Callithrix jacchus: one gene and its partners. The protein of the gene in region 2 interacts with the protein of the main gene of each other region in a biochemical or structural test. Links are inferred from orthologs where the notes say so. Each region holds a gene or a part of one and is shown on either strand. Other genes may lie near its edges.

The links.
Region 1: the proteins of LRRK1 (region 2) and PDCD4 form a complex in vitro, tested with the Homo sapiens proteins (2 studies listed by BioGRID and IntAct, with this or other methods). The link is inferred for Callithrix jacchus from reciprocal best matches to the Homo sapiens genes LRRK1 and PDCD4.
Region 3: the proteins of LRRK1 (region 2) and GPBP1L1 form a complex in vitro, tested with the Homo sapiens proteins (2 studies listed by BioGRID and IntAct, with this or other methods). The link is inferred for Callithrix jacchus from reciprocal best matches to the Homo sapiens genes LRRK1 and GPBP1L1.
Region 4: the proteins of LRRK1 (region 2) and ODF2 form a complex in vitro, tested with the Homo sapiens proteins (2 studies listed by BioGRID and IntAct, with this or other methods). The link is inferred for Callithrix jacchus from reciprocal best matches to the Homo sapiens genes LRRK1 and ODF2.
Region 5: the proteins of LRRK1 (region 2) and CDC42EP3 form a complex in vitro, tested with the Homo sapiens proteins (2 studies listed by BioGRID and IntAct, with this or other methods). The link is inferred for Callithrix jacchus from reciprocal best matches to the Homo sapiens genes LRRK1 and CDC42EP3.

What each region holds. Positions count from the first base shown.
Region 1 is NC_133513.1:103,813,872-103,817,927, reverse strand, and holds the start of PDCD4 (programmed cell death protein 4), read right to left. Parts: upstream 2,801-4,056; 5' UTR 2,705-2,800; intron 1,579-2,704; 5' UTR 1,554-1,578; intron 1-1,553. UniProt on the Homo sapiens protein: Inhibits translation initiation and cap-dependent translation. May excert its function by hindering the interaction between EIF4A1 and EIF4G. Inhibits the helicase activity of EIF4A. Modulates the activation of JUN kinase.
Region 2 is NC_133507.1:8,959,950-8,963,449, reverse strand, and holds part of LRRK1 (leucine-rich repeat serine/threonine-protein kinase 1), read left to right. Parts: intron 1-256; coding exon 257-386; intron 387-1,139; coding exon 1,140-1,252; intron 1,253-1,670; coding exon 1,671-1,885; intron 1,886-3,500.
Region 3 is NC_133508.1:82,433,896-82,437,973, reverse strand, and holds the start of GPBP1L1 (vasculin-like protein 1), read left to right. Parts: upstream 1-1,278; 5' UTR 1,279-1,472; intron 1,473-1,849; 5' UTR 1,850-2,054; intron 2,055-2,235; exon of another isoform or gene 2,236-2,445; intron 2,446-2,867; exon of another isoform or gene 2,868-3,420; intron 3,421-4,078. UniProt on the Homo sapiens protein: Possible transcription factor.
Region 4 is NC_133502.1:177,055,086-177,059,020, forward strand, and holds the start of ODF2 (outer dense fiber protein 2), read left to right. Parts: upstream 1-1,135; 5' UTR 1,136-1,201; coding exon 1,202-1,365; intron 1,366-1,535; exon of another isoform or gene 1,536-2,156; intron 2,157-2,289; exon of another isoform or gene 2,290-2,497; coding exon of another isoform or gene 2,498-2,529; intron 2,530-3,935. UniProt on the Homo sapiens protein: Seems to be a major component of sperm tail outer dense fibers (ODF).
Region 5 is NC_133515.1:77,292,325-77,296,617, forward strand, and holds the start of CDC42EP3 (cdc42 effector protein 3), read left to right. Parts: upstream 1-1,493; 5' UTR 1,494-1,640; intron 1,641-2,084; exon of another isoform or gene 2,085-2,309; intron 2,310-4,293.

The DNA of each region.
Region 1 (4,056 bases), on a different chromosome or scaffold from region 2:
ACTATGGCATAATCCTCAGACTAACATGCTATCATATTGCTTGGGAACTTAAGAAAACGGTGAGACCATTCTCTAATTCTGTCTAGATTATATTCATATATGTGATTCTTTATAATCACTTTTCAATATAACTCTCACCAACTTTAGATTTGAAAAGAAATCTTAAAAATATGTATATGGAGATTCATATAGATACATGAACAAAAATGGTTTGCAGATTTAAACATTTAGCATCCTTGATGGCTGAAAAGGCTACATTCTGTTTCAATTCCATGCATGAATTACCTATAGGAAAGGAATAATGTCATATGATGTGTTTGAGTTTTTTAGAGTTCTATTATAGTCTTTTTCATTCTTGATGAAAGTATAACCTTTGAGAGAATATTTTCTGCAGAACCTAATAAGTGAAATGAATATAACTGATGTTTAAAAAGCCCCTTGCAATTCAAAAAGAATTTTACATGTATTATTTAGTACCTTACAGAACAATCTTCAGGTAGGTATTCCACTTTACACACAACTAAACAGATTCAGAGAGGGTAGGTAATATGTCCAAGGACAAACAGCTGCTTAGTTTGAGCCAGGATGAGAATCTAGACCTTCCAAATCCAGTACTGTCTGCACAAGTTCAATCCAAGATTTTAATATCCCATAGGAAGATTCTTAAAGAAGCTTATTAAAACAGACTTCTGCTGTTAAATCAAACTTTTTAAAATACTGTTTTCCAAACACTTAAAATAATTATTTTAAACTATCATACAGAAGGCATTCCATCAGACAAAGAAAACTGTCAGGAAATGAGTATCATCTCTTACCTAATAAAGTTATCTTAATAAAAAAAAAAAAGTCCTGTGTTTTTAGGCAATGATAACCCGATCGATAACTCAAGTCATATTTGAAAGCAGCCAACACACATTTTAAGAGTTCAGATAAAGATAAGACACGTTCCACGTTTTTACTCTCTTTAAAACTAGTAGGACTTTTTTTTTCCAATTTAACCGTTAACACAATTGGCCCAAACAGGAAAATACATGGCAAAAAATCCAAACCCTATTTCCTTCATACCATCCTATAAAAACGAATTTTCAATGAGAAAACTATACATACAAGTTAGAAGAAAACGAAGGCTGACATTAAACACTGTTCTTTTCTCCAGTGTGTTATTCAATTCCCAAGACATTTCCCTAAAAGACCCTCCACTCCCCCGCAAATGTGTGTGTGTATATGTGTATATATACATGTATATGTGTATATATACATATATATATATGTATGTATGTATATTTGTATGTATTTCCCGAAATATACCTCAGAAATTGCTCTGGCATTTTGGGGAGTCATTTATTAACTACAATTACTTATATTCATTCTTCGGCTACAGCCAGCTAATTAGCAGCTTAAAATCAGCTAAAAGCTTTGTACCACAATAATGCAAAAACGAGCACTACAGAAAATATTCAAGTGGCATTTATTTTTTTAGTCCTAACAATTATTTTTCCTTTCACATTAGTATCACGGAAAAAGCCAATCAATTAGAATTCAAAGGCACTTACTGAGTTATTAAGGTATTCAATAAACCTGTAATGAAGGAATATTAAGGACATAAATACCAATAACTACTTGTTTAAAAAGCACTTGGTGGTTTCCCAAAAAAACAGCCACGTTAAGAATATCAAAATTGTGGGTGGGGGGCAGAAAAAAAAGAATATCAAAATTATAAAAATTAACAGTAAAAATGCAAGTTAAAAAATAGGAGAAACCCTCTTTTCCCCGACACCTAGCAGCATTTCTGATCGTTTTTATCATTTGTAGACACTACACAGTTGCTGGCTACGTAGCAAGTTCTCACAAGAGCAAGGGGGAGGTGGGCTAAATCGACGTCTGCAGACAGTTTTAAAGCTCTTGCAAAACTCCATGTACGTTACAGCACCAAACTGACAAATGCAGCAGATGGCACGCGTTTCACAGAAAGGGGGCTCCCTTCCCGGCTTTGTTTTCTCCGGGAGATTTTATTTTACCTAAACTAAAAAAAAGAGACCCTTTGCCGGAGGGCTGGAGCGGCGAAGTTCGCACAGGGCAGGGGAGGCGGGCACGTGTACGCCTCCTAGCCCCCCGGCGAGGCGAGCGCGTGGCCCTTCCCCGCAGCGGCCGAGCCCGCTCCCTTGCAGAGGGCTCAGGCCCGGACCCCCGAAGTCCCCAGCCCTGGCTGGCCCCCAGAAACTGCTGGGCCGGGACCGGGTCTCCGGGGCACGCCGGGCATGGGGATGCATCTTCAGGGGATTCTCAGGAGGGCGCGGTGAGGATGCGAACCTTCCTCACAGGATTTCAGTCTCACCGGAAACACGCCTTCCAATCCTGACCCCCGAATTCAACCTCCGCCAGAGGGGGAGGAGGGTTGGGGGGGGGCCCTCGCCGGCGCGCGCCCCTCTCAGTGGGGAGAGGACTCCGGGAGGGGGCGGGCCCGCGTCGCCACGCTCCGGGCTGGGCCCAGATGGAGGGAACCGGGCCGGCGTCCCGGAGCGTTGGGGCGGGCGCGGCTGGACCTGTGGGGCTATGAGGAGGCAGCCGGACCCCAGCCTCGCAGGCCAGGACCTGACAGGGCCGCGGCCCCCATGCCCCCTCCCATCGTGCGGCTGCCCCGAGGGGGAATGAGGGAAAGGGAGCAATCTTCCCGAGCGTGCGAGCCGCGCCCACTGGTACTGACCCCTCGGGCCCCCGCCGCTGCTCGCCCAGGTCCCCGGTCTGCCGGCCCCGATCCCGCTCCTCTGCCTCCGCCGCCTCTGCACCTCGGAGAGTCTCTGGCCCCTCTCGCTCTGTTTGTTTTTGTTTTCTTCTACCCAGTAACACGGGGGCGAGAAGGCTGCGCTTATTGGCGGAGGCCCGGTGGCCGGTTGGCCAATCGTAGCGGCGGAGCCGGAGCTGGGGAGGAAAAGGGAGAGGAATGAAACGTGGAAAGTTGGGGAGGGGCGCGGGAGGGCGCATGCGCTTGTGGTTCCTGGGACTGGCTGGAGCGGGAGCTGAGCGGGAAGCCCGGGTGAGGGTACGTTGGGAGGCGTGGCGGGATGGGAGCGTCGGCCCACGGGCAGTGCTGGGGAATGGGGACAAAGAAGCTCCCCAGACCCAGCGCACCCATTCTCCTCGCACGGCGTGCTGCAAACTCAGCTGAAGCAAAGATTTTCAGCTTCCTGACGGTCCCTGCCTCCATTTCTAGACACTCCCAAGTGTTCAGCCTGTCGGATTCCTTCTCCCTCTGGCCCCTGCTCTCTCCAGGGAGAGTTTCTGCAGATCCCATAACTAAGAAGTTACTCTCAGCGAATCCCCTCAACCCTTTGAGATAGAAATCATTCCCATTTTACAGATATAAGACAGGCTCAAAAACTCTTTGAAGTCGCTTTGCTAATCATGACTAGCCAAGCCTCTGGTGTTCAAACGCACACATTCTGGACTCCCGTGCTGGGGTTCTGGGCCATGGCTACAATCTCTGTATTGAAATTCCCAGGTCCCCTGGCTGTTCTCTGTGACCTTTCGTCTTGGCTGCGTTCGTTTTGGCTGGTCCTTTCCGTATTCTTTCTCGGTCGCTGTCCCCTGAGGTAATAACCAGAACCTTGTGCTCCCTCTGCTCCCAGGAGGGGACTTAACCACTTACCTCTGATCAGATTTTCCAGTTGTTTGATGGGTCACACATGAATGATTGCTTGGTCTCTCCAGAACCCAACTGTCTTAATTCCGCACAAGCCACGCCTTACCCTGGCTACCCAGTCACCCTGCCTGGGAATCATCTCTAATGCTACTATTTCTCTGCACAAAACAAAACAAAACAATAAACCTTCATTGTCTTCCCATTGCCTCTCTTGAGTGTCAGCACCCGGGTCGGTCATTCAAGGCTCCACTATGTGACTTTAAGACTTTCAGGCTGTGTCTCCACATCTCCCTACATGCTTCCCCACCCGCTGCTAGTTTTGTTTGTTTGTTTGTTTTGAGACGGAGTTTCGCGCTTGTTACCCAGGCTGGAGTGCAATGGTGCGATCTCGGCTCACCGCAACCTCCGCCTCCTGG
Region 2 (3,500 bases):
GGTTGAGCTCATAGGTTGTCATAGGTTGTCCTCTGTCTCTGCCACTGAGTGTCCTCCTCCTCACATCTTTGCCACACATGCATGCAAGGATGTCCATAGAATTAGAATCACTAGGTTGATGAGGTGAGCATTTGGTTCGCTAGGTTTGCCAGAATGCCCTCTGGAGGTTGCATCAGTTTATACACCCACCTGGCCACCACGCTGTGATGGCCCAGAATGCTTTTTAAATGCAGTCTGCTTTGCCATGTCTTTGCAGCATGTGTACTGGAATTTCCAGCCTTCCTGAGTGACTCTTTGGAAGTCCTTTGCCTGAACGACAACCACCTTGACACAGTCCCTCCCTCGGTTTGCCTGCTGAAGAGCCTATCAGAGCTCTACTTGGGGAAGTAAGTACTCATCTGGAGGGGCCGTGCTGGCTGCTGACCCAGTGAGGCACAGTGCCCATCCCTAAACCAGCTGGGACACAGAAAGCCAGGCAGAAAGAAGCCATTGACTCTTCAAGAAGCAGCAGTGGGATTTTTCAGAACAGGGCTTGATCAAGGTGGGAGGGAGAAAGGAAGATGGGGCAGCGATGGGATGAGACGCACGTTAGCTGCAGCACTCGGGCTGTGATGAGGAGAAGCACTCGGTCATCCATCCTTTCATTACTGAGCTTTCATTGCATGCCAGCTACTGCCAGGGCTTCTAGGCAGTGTGCACACCTTGATGAAAATGTAAAATGTTATATCAATATTAAAGTGACATCGCCTCTTCAAGAAGAGGTAGTGATCATCTCTATGGTGATGTAGTTGGTAGCAGAGACAGGGAAGCTGGAGGAGGGGACTCAATTCTAAGCCATGGGGATTTGCAGAAGATAGCGCTGCCCTTTCTACCACTGACCCTTCAGGGAGAAAGGCTTTGGAATTAGTGTTGAAATCAGGTCCTGAGGTGCGGGTTTTGGGGTGCAGGCTGTCAGTGGCCTCAGCAGGCTGCAGAGGCTGACAGAAGTCATGTGTGTATGTGTGTGTGCGTGCATATGTGTGCTTGCGTGTACATGCGTGCGCGTGTGTGCGTGTGTGTATGTGTGTGTGCGTGTGTGTGTTTACGTGCATGGTCTGGACACACCTGTATTCTCTCGTGATGGGCACACGTGTCTTCAGCAACCCTGGCCTCCGGGAGCTCCCTCCTGAGCTGGGGCAGCTGGGCAACCTCTGGCAGCTGGACACTGAAGACCTGACCATCAGCAATGTGCCTGCAGAAATCCGAAAAGAAGGTAGGGCATCCACAGCTCTGTCCCCTGCCATCACCTTGGAAAGACAACTCAAGTCCACTAGTTAAGTTCTGGGGGTAGAAACAGTTGGTGACCTATGGAGCCCACCTCCAGGTTCCAGGTTTGGCAAGATGCTATAAAATTGTCCCTAAAGCAGTCATTACTGAGGGTCACTATATTGAGAATGGCCAGGTGATAAACCTGGGACCTCCTAGGCAGCAAGGGCTTTGTCTATAGGTTCTTGCCTTTGAGACTTCACTTTCGGGGTGATTAGTGTCACTCCTTCCCTCCACCTGCTCCAATGTTCCTTAACTGTCCCCATCAGAACACAAAGAAAGTTTCTTCACGACAGGATTTTGTGTTCTAAGAGAAGTGAGCATGTTCCCATGCACCTACCTTTCCCCTTTATGATTCTGCACAGGCCCCAAAGCAATGCTGTCTTACTTACGAGCTCAGCTGCGGAAAGCAGAGAGGTGCAAGCTGATGAAGATGATCATCGTGGGTCCCCCGCGCCAGGGCAAGTCCACCCTCCTGGAGATCTTACAGACGGGGAGGGCCTCCCAGGTGGTGCACGGCGAGGCCACCATCAGGACCACCAAGTGGGAGCTCCAGAGGCCAGCTGGCTCGAGAGCCAAGGTCAAGAGTCCCTGTGCGCAGTGTCCCTGTGGGCGGGCGGGACATCCCTTGGACTCCTCTCTCTTCTCCACAGAGAACCCAGGGTTTTCTCAGCCTGATGTCCAAAGCCAGAACCTTTGCAGGAGCCACTGTGTACTGTTCTGTACCAGCTTCTGCCAAGAGCAGCACATCGTCTCTTGATGTGACTTTGTAGTTTTTTCCTTTCTTTTCTTTGAGACAGTGTCTCCCTCTGTCACTCAGGCTGGATGTATCCTCAACCTCCCAGCTTAAACGATCCTCCTGCCCTGTGTGTTTTTGTGATTGTGAACTCAAAGCTTTGGGCCAGTGGTTCTTAACCCTGACTGTCCATTAGATTTCCTTGAGGAGCTTTTAAAGATAGCACTGCCCAGGCCTCACCTCACTGCTCTTTGACCCCAAGGATTCAAGTTCAAGTGGTCCGGGGTAAGGCACCCCCAGGGCTGAGCATAACCACTGTTGCAGACAGTGAAACACACCAGCATCTGCCCTCTAATGAGGAAGCTAAAAGCACTCCGGGACTTAATGCCCTGTCCTCCCTGATACCTGCTTTCACCCCAGGTTCTGAAAAGTCCTGTTTCTAAGCCCTACTGAAAATAAATCCATCACTGCTTGAACCTGGGAGGTGGAGTTTGCCAAATCGCGCCACTGCACTCCAGCCTGGTGACAGAGTAAGACTCCATCTCAAAAAAAAAAAAAAAAAAAAAGGAGTTCATCACTGAACCTATTAGTCATCCTGCTTTCCATTCAGTGCCAGGCAAATGGAAAGGAACATTTTCCTGTTCATGAAACAGAGAATAGAGCCCATGAACTATAGGTGGGATCTCTATCCCTGGAATAGAGCAGGGCAGTTTGCTCTTTCTCTGAGCTTGGGGAGCAAACACACATAGATAAGGCCTTCCTCATCAGCTCTATTTGCGTTTCTGCCACCCTGTGGCTCCTTGGGATACAAGGGGCAAGGAGACTGCTTCACTATGGAAAACTGAGGAGCCCTGAGGTCCAGATGTTTCCTGATTTTCCGCCAAGTCCCACACAGTGCCAGCCAGACACCGTAGCACCTTTCACACACAGCAACGTTCCAAGCCTTGTTTGAGAACTTAGGCATTAAAGCTGTGCATCTATTCTAGCGCAGACTCGAAAGCTGGTCCTCCAAAGGATGGAGCGCTGCCTGCTGGGGCTAGAACAGTCAACACAACAATCAATGCCGGGCCCATTCTAGAGCATTCCAGGAGCAAATCCAACTGAGTCTAAAAGTTCTCTCCAGGGCCCAGAATCCTCTGCCTTGTCTCCTGCTCTGCTTTTTTCTTAACAATGATGCAATCTCATTTCTTCTCTTAGCTTCCTCTAGCTGAGGCCTGAAGGGTGAATTAGTGCTTCTATTTTTCCTGGCCTTCAGCCCCCACTTCCCTTCTGCGGTGACTAAAGCCCCACCCTTTAGTGGAAGGACAGTCCTGTGCAGCTCTCTGCGTGGCTGGCCTTAGCCGGTTGAGAACAGCTGTTTTCATCTTTATACAAAACCAGGTCAGCATGCTGTCTTGGAGGCCGACACTGCCTCACGGAGATGACTCCTTTCTGTGGAAAACTGTAGCCCTAGCTTCCA
Region 3 (4,078 bases), on a different chromosome or scaffold from region 2:
GCTGGGCATGGTGGTGCGTGCCTGTAGTCCCAGCTACTCGGGAGGCTGAGGCAGGAGAATTGCTTGAACCCAGAAGGCAGAGGTTGCGGTGAGCCAAGATCGTGCCATTGCACTCCAGTCTGGGTAACAACAGCGAAACCGCCTCAAAAATAAATAAATTAATTAAAAAAAATAAAAAAATCGATTGGGCCGGCGCGGTGGCTCACCCCTGTAATCCCAACACTTTGGGCAGCTGAGGCAGGCGGATCACGAGGTCAGGAGTTCGAGACCAGCTGGCCAACATAGTGAAACCCGTCTCTACTAAAGATACAAAAAATTTGTTTCCTATGATTCATGTTAGAGGAAGTAAAAAACAAAAAATCAAAAAAACAAAACAACAAAAAAAAAGATACAAAATATTAGCAGGGCGTGGTGGCGGGTGCCTGTAATCCCAGCTACTTGGGAGGCTGACAAAGGAGAATCTCTTGAACTTGAGAGGCGGAGGTTGCAATGAGCCAAGATCATGCCACTGCACTCCAGCCCAGGCGACAGTGCGAGACTCCATCTCAAAAAAAAAAAAAATTGAACTAATTTATTGATCACAGATCCACATATCTTAGGGTTGGGTCAAGAAACCCTGTATACCAGTGAATGTCTTCATTCTAAAGGAACAGGTAAGTTAGATCACATCCACACCCACCCACCTGAGCCCCAGACCAAAATGCCCGCAGAGTGTACCCATCACTTTTGTCAAAATCAGTTTCTTCGTTAAGACTTTCCAGACCACTTCATTTAAAATCTCAACCATTCCCCCACCTTTGGAAACGCCCTATCCTCTGTAGCACATGCTTTCCAATTAATGGGTATAAAAACGTGATAACCTAAAGTCCAGCGACGGCAGGTGATGAGGGGATTAAGGACTGAGACTCAAAGGTTAATCCTCCTAATTTGGATGAAAGAGCAATATGCCCATTGCCCTAATAGGAAGACTGCAACTGCCAGCTTCAAAAAGACCTCTGAGAAAGGGGGGAGGAGTTTAGACGCCAGTGTCTTCGGGAAACCTTGCCCTACAGTACCCGCGTCTCCAATTTACTACCAACCCTTGGTGCCTCCCATCCCACCCTGTATCTGTGGCGGCTTTGAGATTTACCAGTGTTGCACAGAGAGATGGAACACAGCAGCAAGAAAACAGCCCATGTCTCCCTGGAAAGACACTTCCGGCAAGTGGAATCAGAGAAAGCCCCCTGCTTCCTGAGGACTCAAAAGAAAATAAGTCCGGGTAGGGCCTTACCCTGCGCTAACTGGTTCCTACGCCCGGCTTTCTGTTTGGGGGCCATTCTCAATTTCTAGTTGAAGCCAGATGTTGAACAAGGTACCTGAACGGTTCTTGACTTTCTGTTTCATGGCTCCCAGGCAGCAGAATCTGCCCACAGAGTTCGAGAAGGTAGAGTGCAAGTACTGAAACAATCTCAGAATGATGGTGGTGAAGGAAGGTAAGAGACGGGATTTTAGGCCCAGAGTGACCTGGCCAAATTGCTTGTCATCTGTGGAATTTATTTTTTACTTTGCAAAACAGGGTTATAAGACCTATGGGGCCCATGTCACTCCGCATTACGGCCCTTTACTATTAGTTAAAGGAAGAAAAAAGCCCAATTATTACATTTATTTTCTTTGCTAGGAGATAGAAACTTCATTAAGGATTAAATAGCACAAGAGCAGGATTTTTACTTCCATGAAAGGTGTGGTGATAAGAGCCCTGGGCTTGGGGGTGGTGCGGAAAGTCAGATCATTTCTCCTGCTGCCCGCGGCTTTATTTCTCCGCTATGTGACCTTGGGCAAGTCCCTTCTCTTATCTGGATTTGTTTCACAGGAAATGGCACTAGGCAATCTGAGTGTCCTTCCGTGTATATGGATAAAGCTGAAGACATGTATCTCAGGGGCCCACGCCGGCCAGCCCCTCCATTCCTCTGGATTCTACGTAGTGTAGCTTCCTGGTTGCCACCCATCACATGGTTTAGTGTTCCGTGCCGGAAGGAGCCACAGCAAAGTGTTCGCTAATAGCGCTTTTAGTAGAGGTAGGCCTTCAGTTTTTATTGCCTTCTCTGTCATGGCACCGCCGCCCCTTCCAGTAGTGCGATACCCAATGAGACTTAAGGTAGAAGAAACGGCACTGTCACTGGCGCAGACTCTAGCCAAAAGCCCGCCCTGCGCTGGGGCGGGGCATGACGCTTGCGCTCCCAGGGAACTACTACTCCCAGTGGGTTGCGCGGCTCACCCAGCCGCGCAGCCTCCGGAGCAAGGCCGTGTGGGCTGCTGGGGACTGGAGTCTCAACGACACGCACACGTGAAGGAAGGAGCGGAAGGTGGGAAAGGGCTGAAAAACACACGTTCCTCCGAAACCGGTTTGCAAGTCCTTGTAGAGGTAGTTTCGGGACGCGTACCGGCCCACGGGAGGGCTGTGGGAAGGTGAAGAAAGAAGGAATACACACATACATACCCACCCACTCATTCATACGCGCTCAGGCCCTGAAAGTGGGCAGGGGGGTTAGAAGGGGCGTACTAAATTAGGCTTGTCCTTGCTTCAGGCGGCACGAGGAAAGGCAGAGGATTCAACTCTGTAGGAGGCGGAGGCGACCACGCGCCGCCTCCAGCGGCGAGGAAGGGAGCCAGGGGCAGGGCAGGGCATAACCGCCGTTCTGGAAGCCGAACGTTGGCAGCTCGGGGCGCGAGCGTCTCTCCGGCAGTGTTGGCGGGGCAGGTCCCGCGCGCATGCGCTCCTTCAGGTGGGCGTGTGTAAGGCGGGGTCGGACGGGGGACGGGAGGGCCATGCTGCTCGTCGCTCCTCCTCCTCCTCCACCCGCTCTGCCCCTCCTGGGTCTTGTGGGCTGGGCAGCCATTTTGGGAAGAGCTTTGTTATGGTTGTGGGCTAGCCGCCTCTGCCGGGTCGACAAGCTGGGGACGCGTCCTTAGACGCCGCGTCTCGTCCCTGGTCGTAGCCCCACCGCTGCACGGTGAGTGGGAGTTGGGGACAACGGGGCAGTAGGAGATCTTGGAGTCGTTCCGGCGCGGGGCTCCGCCCGGTGCCTAACCAACCGGCTGTTAAAACTAGGTTAAAGAAGCTCTCACACAGGTGGTTGGTTGTAGGTCCTACCCGAGAGGGGCGAGCGGAGCCCACGGGTCAACTGGTTCGAACGGGGCACTCCCGCCACCGCAGTGCTTAGAGCTTTGCACGCGAGCGTTGCCGGGGCTCTGCGTAAGCGCTGCTACTTTAACTTTGGTCGTCGGGTCGGAACGCTCACCTGCGGCTTTTTGGCTCCTCTCCAGACGATCCGGCTTGGTGCCGGTTGAGGGACTTGGTTTACGGGTTTTTTTCTTTCCCTCTTGAAATGAGAGCTAAGAGCTTTTGTTTTCCTTCAAAGAAAAACCTAAGGAGGAAAAAGTGTAAGTCAAATGTTGGATATTTTAGGGGAAAAAAGTTAACCCCCAGCATTCCGGTTCTCCGTGGTAGCGAGGTGTTTTCGTTTAGATTGAGTCTATCCAATATTTTCCAACCCCCTTCCCTTGCGGGGGTTGCGGGGGAAATCCTGAAATGTTTTAAGAGTGTTATTTTTTTTCTCGTCTTAAATCTACTTCTCCTCAACCCGAGAAATTCAAAAGAAAGTCTGAATCTAAAATGGCTGTAGCTTGGGGAACTGCCCTGCCCTTCGATTACTTAAATACAGTAACGTTTAAAAATTTTAGTCGTTTCCCCTATGGGGACATTAACTGAATCTTTTGTTCTTCTGGCTTTTTACAATTGTTGTCTCATCTTTAACTCTCTTGCTAGGTGAAAACAAAGGTGAGACTCACAAAGTTGACTTACTCCAAAAGTTTACATAAGAATGGGTGCGGTGGTGTGTGTGTGTGTTTAATAGTTGCTTATAGTTTTCAGATTGTGCTGTGGTGTCAATTTTATTTGCCAACTTTGCGCTCTGAGGGTGGCTTGTCATATTTGTTGAAATACTTTTAATGTTGATATTCATTGCTTACCAGGAAAATACAGAGTTAATAATAGTGGTTCGTGTTTTAGTTTAGTAACAAGTCATGTTCTTGTGTAAAC
Region 4 (3,935 bases), on a different chromosome or scaffold from region 2:
CAGGAGAATTAGAGTATGGGATGGGGAAGAGGCAACGGTTTGGAAAAACCACCATCAGGAGGAGTCTAGGGACAAATAGACGTTCCTGGATAGTGTGTGGGGCTCAGCTGAGGGTGGAGGAGTGATCTGCAGATTTGATCTTTTCAGTCTTTAAATATAACTCAACGGAGTTGAGTTATAATGAGGATTAAGAAATCTCTCAAGGCCGGGCGTGGTGGCTCATGCCTGTAATCCAAGCACTTTGGAGGCCAAGGTGGGAGGATCACCAGAGGTCAGGAGTTCAAGACCAGCCTGACCAACATGGTGAAACCCCGTCTTAAAAAAAAAAAAACTCTCAATTATTCGACAGAGCGACAATGAATGGACCAAGGGATCAGGGAGCTCCCTGACATTACAGAATACAGTATGCAGTATACTGTGAAAGCCAAGCAGAAAAGCAGGTTTTGTTTGGGAGGGGAGTTTGACTTTAGGATTTCAGGTGAAACACTTGTGTGACCCTGGAGGTGTGTGGCTGAGGTGCTGCGAGGTCACTGGAGAAAGGTCAAGGGACTGTGGCCCGGTTGGCTCCGAGGTTGTTAAAGTCTCCAAGATTCCAGGGCGGCATTATGAGCCACGTGACAGACCTCCCAAGACTGGCTGAGAAGCATAATTGAGAAGATGGCAGCCCAGCGAGGACCTCATCAGAATAGGTCTGTACACAGAGCAGCAGAGTGCAGGAGGGTAGTGAAGAGCAAGGGGAATGCCGATCCTTCCTCCTTTTGGGGTCAAGACAGAGGCGATGTGGGCAGGGGAGCGAGGCCAGGGAATTGGCAGAAACCGACTCCATCCCTGCACTAATAGTGGGCTGGGGCAGGGCTGGATTTCCGGAGGCAGTGTGCAGTTCGCAGTAACTTGTTCTGTGGCTCCGCTGTGAGCCTAGTTTCTCGGTGGGTACCGAGGGGAGCGCGTCGGAGCCCTACGTTCCTTTGAGTCAGGGGAATCCGGGAGGACCCGAGGCAGGGGAAACGGCCGAGCTGGGAAGCCCTTGAATGCGGGCCGAGACCCGGTAAGGCAGGCTGGATGCGTCTACATCTCCTTGGTGACGAGACGCGTGGCCCGGAAGTGGGCGGTGCCACTGGTGGGGCGGGGCATCTCTGTGACGCCAGGGGCTGGGCCTCGATGGCGAAACCCAAGCGGCTCCCGAGGGGGTTTGAACTGGCCAATGGGCGAGGTGCCGACCGGGTGTCGGAAAAGGAGGCGGAAGCGGGGAGGAGCCGCCGCCAGAGCCGGACTACATCCGCCGCGGCGTCTCCATGGCACGGCCCTGGCCTCCGACTTCAACGACTTCATAAGGCGGCGTTTCTGGGCTCAGCCGTGTCGCTCCTGGTGAGAGGCCGCTGGCTGGCGGGATCCAGGGCGCTCCCGGGCGAGACAGTCCCCTTCGCACCCTCGGCGGGGTCGGCCCGGTAGGGCCGTCGGGTCCTGGGCCCCCAGCCGCGTCGCGCCCGTCCCCCTCCTGTCAGAACCTGGCCCCCCCCGCCCCCCCCCACCGGCGCGGGGACTCTCCTCCTTGCGCTAACGGGCGGCCGGCCGCCTCCTTCTCCTCTCTCCTGGCCACCGCGGGGCTCTGCCCCTCCTCTGCCGCTCACGGCCAGGGCTTCGTCCTTCTCCATATGGGCAGAAACCGGTCCCTTCCTGCCCGCTGGTTGGTGGCCGTCCTTTCTCTCCGCCGACCGACGCTGTCCCTCGCTCTGCTGCCTGCCGGCGGCATCTCGGCATCCGCCTCGTCCTCCCCGCGGGCCTCCGCACGGCAGTCACTTGCCCGCCCACCGTAGGCAGCGCTGTCCCCGGGCACCGTCTCCGGGTCTCCGGGGCCCTCGCCCGGCGGGTCCCGCCCGCCCCCTCTCAGCCTGGCGTCTAACCCGCTCGGAACTCGGTGTTTCGGTTTTCCCTCGCGGCTGGGCGCCCGGCCCCGGCGCACCTCCGCGCCTCGCTCCTTCAAACACTATTGGTCCTCTCGGGCACCTGTTCTTCCGGGAACGCCCCTTCTCCTAGGAAACTGTTGCCCGACCCCGCCCAGCATCTCCGCGGCTCCCTGCGCGGGTCCGGCCCACTTGGGGCCAAGCGGTTCTCACCCTCACTCTCCACACGCCCGCCGGCGCCTCAGGTTTCCCCCGGTAGCCACCGGCCGCCCTTCCCGTGGGGCCCGGGCGCGGAGATCCTTTCCCTCGCCATTGCGCCGGTTCCCTCCCCTCCCTCTCCGCTGCTTCCTTGTCGCTCAGCCTCTCCTGTCTCCCCCTACTTTGGCAGGACAGTTGCTGTGTGACTTGGACAGTAGAGGAGCGCCTCCCAAGTTTTCATCCAACTGCCACCCCCAAAGCTTCCACCCTCCTCCCCTCAGAGAGGACGTTTGATGCCGGGCCCCTTGAGAGGCTCATTGACAAGCCTGCCCGCTCTGGGTCCCCCTGAGCAGAGCCTGCTGACCCAGTTGCCCACTTTGCGGCTTTGATGCCTAGCCATGTCTGCCTCATCCTCAGGCGGCTCCCCCAGGTACTGCCGGTGTGGGAGGCGCCTGCGCCGGAGGGCAGGGAAAGGTGGCCAGGGTTCCCCAGGGCAGGCTCGCCTGAGGCTTTCAGCTTCCTCATTCTGTTTGCTGAAAGTCGGGACCAAAACATTTAAAAATCATTTTTTAAGGGAATGGGGAACGAAATGCATACAGAATCCCAGCTCTGCCTCCCTCGCTCTTTTCCTCCCCAGATATCACAGCTTCCTGGCAGCAAACAGGGCCACTCTTACTGTCTTAATAGAGTACTAGGTTCAGAGCCTTTTTTTTTTTTTTTTTTCCTGGTGACGGAACCCTCCTATGTTGCCCAGGCTAGAGTGCAGTGGCGCGATCTCAGCTCACTGCAACCTCCACCTCCTGGGTTCAAGCAGTTCTCCTGCCTCAGCCTCCGAGTAGCTGGGATTACAGACGCGCAACACAAGGCTGGACTCATTTTTGTATTTTTAGTAGAGATGGGGTTTCACCATGTTGGCCAGGCTGGACTTGAACTCCTGACCTCTTGATCTACTTGCCTTGGCCTCTCAAAGTGCCGGGATTACAGGCGTGAGCTACTGCGCCCGGCTGGTTCAGAGCCTTTTTGAAGGGAGTCCAGGTGTAAATAACGTGTAAGGAAGTGGATGTGGCAATTAGCAAGATGGTGGAATCCAGGTGGTTTGACAGGAAACCCACTGAGAGATTGCCCAAAACTGTTGGCTTTACGTGAACAATGTTCTAAATAATTAGGGAAAAAAGCCTGTCTTCTCAGTTTTGGTATTCCTTGGCTAAAGGATCACTAGAGTTCAATATATATATATATATATATATATATATATATATATATATATATATATATATTTCTTTTTAAAATCAAGATGTTACATACATACAGCAAAATGCATACCAAAGTGCTCAAGTATTTTTTCCATGCATTTTGATGTTGCATTATTTTCCCCAATTATTTGTAGAGAGGGCAAGATGGGACCACTCCATCCCTGCTCCACCCTCCCCGCCACCCCCAGGTCACTCAGCCTGTGATCTCCCCCTAACTTTGGGGGCCAGTGCGGTGGCTCATGCCTGTGTAATTCCAGATATTTTAGAGCCTGACCAACATGGTGAAACCCCATCTCTACTAGAAATACAAAGCAATCCCAGCCTGACCAACATGGTAAAACCCCGTCTCTACTAGAAATAAAAAAATTTAGCTGGGAATAATGGCACGTGCCTTTTCTCAGTTACTCAGGAGGCTGAGTCAGGAGAATTGCTTGAACCCAGGAGGTGGAGGTTGCAGTGACCCAAGATTGGGCCACTGCACTCTATCCTGCACTCCATCTTGGGAAAAAGAAAATTGCAATGAGATGGATCAGGTGGTTATTCCAAGTCCCTTCCCATCCCGGAATTCTTGGATATACTGCTG
Region 5 (4,293 bases), on a different chromosome or scaffold from region 2:
AGATAACTCTTTAGAGCCCAGCAGTGAAGAAGTCTCATTTCAAAATGGCAGAGGGAGAGAAAACCTCCGAAAGGCAAGGAATAATGTAGAAAAGTAAAATTAGGGTTTTGGAATAAAACTGCCACCTCAAACAACCTGCCACTCTATATTTGCACAAACTATAAAAGAAGTTATTTATTGGGCCATGTGGAAATAAAGTGCTTTTAACAGCAGCTAACAATAGATCACGTGAAAAAAAGTTACATATAAGACGTGGAAGGAATGTCTTTATGTGTTCAAAAGGAATTTTACATGTGGTTTTTTATAAATATATACACACACATTATTTGGACCTATACCATATGTAATGAAAACTATGCATAAATATTTATAAAAATACCATTTTTTAAGTAAGCCAGAAACATTTAATATTTTTCAATAAATTAATATATAAAATATATACATTAGTGCCAAATGGAACATATTTGAAATATGAGCCCCAAGTAAAATGCTCAGGAATCTGGAGTAGAATCCAGGTATCTGCCAAAGGAAATTTTGGACCAGTTGTCTTTTGAAGAAGGGAAACAATGCTGGGTCTCTTATCTTCACGCACTGTTTTGCTTGTCAAACTTCTAGCATCACTTCAGCGGAGTTTAGTATTTGACTTCTAACCTCATGGCTATTTGACCTGCCAACTATTATTTTTCTTTGAGGCTTTTAACTCTCCACCCAAGTATTTTGCTTCCAGAACAGTTGTGTCCGTTTCCTTTTCACTTCACCTTAACGTCAGCCTGGGTTTACAACGTCGGCTTAAGGTGCACCCTCTAAGGTTTCAGATAGACCCAGGGCACTGCGGTGATGACCTGAAGCTGATATCTTTCGGCAAAGCCAAGGTGCTTGGGAGGTTCTCCGCGTTGTGCCAGGATTTCCATCCAACCTGAGAGTCTTAGGGCAGAGGCCAGACCCCGAGCGTCTGACTCCCCAGGGTCCCAGCCCCTTCCCCAGGCTGATCCTGCGGGCTGGGACCTCCCAGCCGGAAAACACTGCCCTTTCCTGTGGCCTACTCCTTCCACAGGCCGACGACTCTCAGAAGAGGAGGAGACGGAGACCGATTAAGAAAATTAGCATTCATTAACCCGGTTCGAGCTCAGGCCCCCGCGGAGGGGAGGGGCGCGCCAGGCGGCGGCGTCTGGGTGACCGGCGGGCGCAGGTGCCGCCACGGGCGGAATTTTACGCTCCCGGGCCGGCAGCTGCACCACTTGCGCCTCGTCGGGCGTCTGGGGCAGCCGCCAACAGCTTGCCCCTACTTTAGGCAAATCCCTTTAAAAGACCCCGAGGGAGAAGACACGCCTCCCTCTGAACTGGAGAACCTGTAGCGTCTGCGGTTCGTCGCGTGTCCAGCTGCTCAGCCGGTAGCTCCGGCATCTCCAGGGCGTTAAGTCCACTCTCCGGGTTTTGGCTGCAGCTACTAGGGGAGCGAGCTGGAAACTGACAGAACGCGACCCTCCCCCTCCGCGCTCACCGGAGCCCGGGCTGCGAGGGACCCGGGGAGCTGCGGCCGGGCTGGGGCGGCGCACTCAGGTGGCTTCGCTTCCCTGCGGGTCACCGCCCGCCACGCCGGAACCTCGCACAGCTAGGTCGGCTTGTTGGGATCGGGAGAGGTGGGCGCACGAGGTTTACTGCGGGAGTCCGGGGTACGGGCGGAGTCCTATTGTCCCCGAGCACCCGGGCGGCAGCACCTCGGGGTCCTTCTTTAAACCGGGAGTGTGGCGACCTTTCTTTGTGCTAAGGGAGCCGAACGCGGGTTCTTCTCTGAGGGAAGTCGCCTACTTGGGGGTGGCGCTGGGGAGGTAACAGTGGGCGCCCATTGTCCTCCGAGGGTCCGCCGTTGACCCCCCCCCACCCCCCGCGCGCCTGGCCGCCTGCTGGCCCCGGGCCAGGGCACAGGTACCGCGTCCGGGAGGGTCGGCCCCGCCGCCCGCTCCCTCCGCTCCCTCCGCTCCCTCCGCTCCGCCCCGCCCCGGGCCAGCCCCGCGCCGCCGGCCCCGCCCCGCGTTGCCCCGCCCTCCGCAGGTTCAGTCCTCGCGTCCGGCCGCCTAACGCTCAGTCGCGCGCACCTTCTCTCGCGGCCGAGGGGCCGCGGCGCGGGGCCAACCCGGAGACCCGGCCGCGGGCCTGGAGAGCCTTCACGCCGTCTCGGAGCGGAGAATGCGGTGAGCAGGCGCCGCGCCGCGCCGGCACACCCGGCTGGTTCTGCAAGCACCGGCAGGCTGGTTCTGCTTGTGCCCGTGGGGGGCTCGGGCAGCGGTTGAGATCCTCGGCGGCTGCCGGTGAGTCGGGAGAGCCCAGAACTCCTTCCTCTCTACCTGTCTGTGAGTCTGTCCCGCCCGCGGCCGTGGCCGCTTTCCGGCGTGCGCTGGTGTTAGGCTGGGAAACCAACAGAGAGACTGGATACCGAGGGCATCGCTTTCCCATCTCATGTTCAAAGGACTGAAGGGAACGTAAAGCAAGCCAGGAGGGGGTCGGGCGGCCCCACCGGAACGTAGGGCTCCTCCATTTGCGCCCACCACTTTTAAGGGTGGGGCTGCGCGGCCGCATTGCACCCTCTGAGCTATTGACAGAGCCATTCTGGCCGCGTGTAGAATTTTTCCATAGGAGAACAAGCCTCACTTCGCTACCGCGCCCCTCGCGTCGTGGATTGGAACCAGAGCCGCACATGGGTGCATCGCACAGCTCTGCCGTGGCATCGCCCCCCCCCGCCCCGTGCCCTCTTCTTTCTTAACGGAGAGCATTGTTAGCGGGGCAACAACCTGCAGATCTGGCTATTGACTTTTTTTGTTTTTTTGTCTTTTGACCGTGACAGCTGAAACATTTACAAGGTTTTGGGGTTCCCCAGACCTTTCTCCTTGAAACTAAGTGCCTTGACACAGACAAATATCAGACATGTGAGGACGAATGGCTCTGGCCATTTTTTCTTTATGAATTATTATGCTCTATCCCCCTCTCGACTTTGGGAGGCATGTGTTTCATCTTATAAATAGAAAGTAGAATATTTTTTGGCAGGATTTCCTTTATACTGTACAGTCTAGGAGAGGTCAGTTTAAAAATAAATACGCACTTGAATGTTACATTACCGAGAGCCAGGCTGTGGCTGGGACAAGCTGCGTGGACAGCAGCATCAAAGCCGGGAGCGCAGCTGTGTTGAAAGTAGTAAAAGCCCCAGAGTGCAGCCCAGGCTGACAGTCAAGTAATTACATTTTGTTTAAAAAAAAAAAAGGTGAGGGGAGCGAATTAAAATGAGGGCGGGAATAGGATTGTCAGAAGGGTATTGCAACATGAATCTTTCCAGCCCGGGCGTATTTGGAGGAGTGGGCTGCTGGTGTGTGCTGAGGGTGTAGGGGGGCTCTAGGGAGGGAACTGATAAATGTGTTAGGGAGACAGAGATTCTGTCCCCATCCCCCAGATCTTAGTTCTCACAATATCCAAGAGTTTCTTGGGAGTACTGCCTTTTAAACGGAACAAAATTAGAAGAGCAGCAGATGTCTGTATTTTAATAGCAAAGCCGGTCTTAGGGACTTCCCCTTAACATCACAGGGAGGAAAAAAAGACTCGCCAGGAACCACTGATGATGCCCTAAGGGTCTTGTCCCTAAGATAATTTAAAAGCCTCCTGTAATGTTCTAATTTATACAAGAGCTTTCCTCTTAAAACCAGGAAATGTACCTTTTCTTTTCTGGACAATTCCAGAAGTCTATTCTTTCATACCCCCTGCAATTTGTATAAGCTCTTATTGGTAGTTAATAAACTACACAGGTATGTGTGTGATGCATATCCTTTTCAGAATAGATTTAGACACTCAGAAATAAGTTGGAGTAGTTGCGAAATATTTAGCACTTTCACGTGAAATAAATGATAAAGGCCATTTATCTAGTCAAGGAATGGTTGAAAGTTCCTTACGAAGTCTCCCGAAGAATGCTGCTTTCCCAATGGGCCTCACCCATTGAATGAAACAGCCCCAGTCTCTGGGCTCACAGATAAGAACTTTAGAGGAAAAATTTGGAAGCGTTTCTGGATCCAAGACAGTTTCTGTTTTCCAGTGGTATCATCTGCTAGAGATTTACATGATGAATTCAATGATTAGAACATGGTGCTGAGGCTGTGGCAGCAGCTACAGGCTTGAAATAAGATGAGCTCCTCTTTCCCTCCATCTGATCAGTGAAATTGTCTCACATATCTCTATGGAACAAGTAAAAGCAGCTAGAGTAGTAAGTGTGGCACACTTTTTGCTTTTTAGTGTACATTTAAGTGTGGTGCA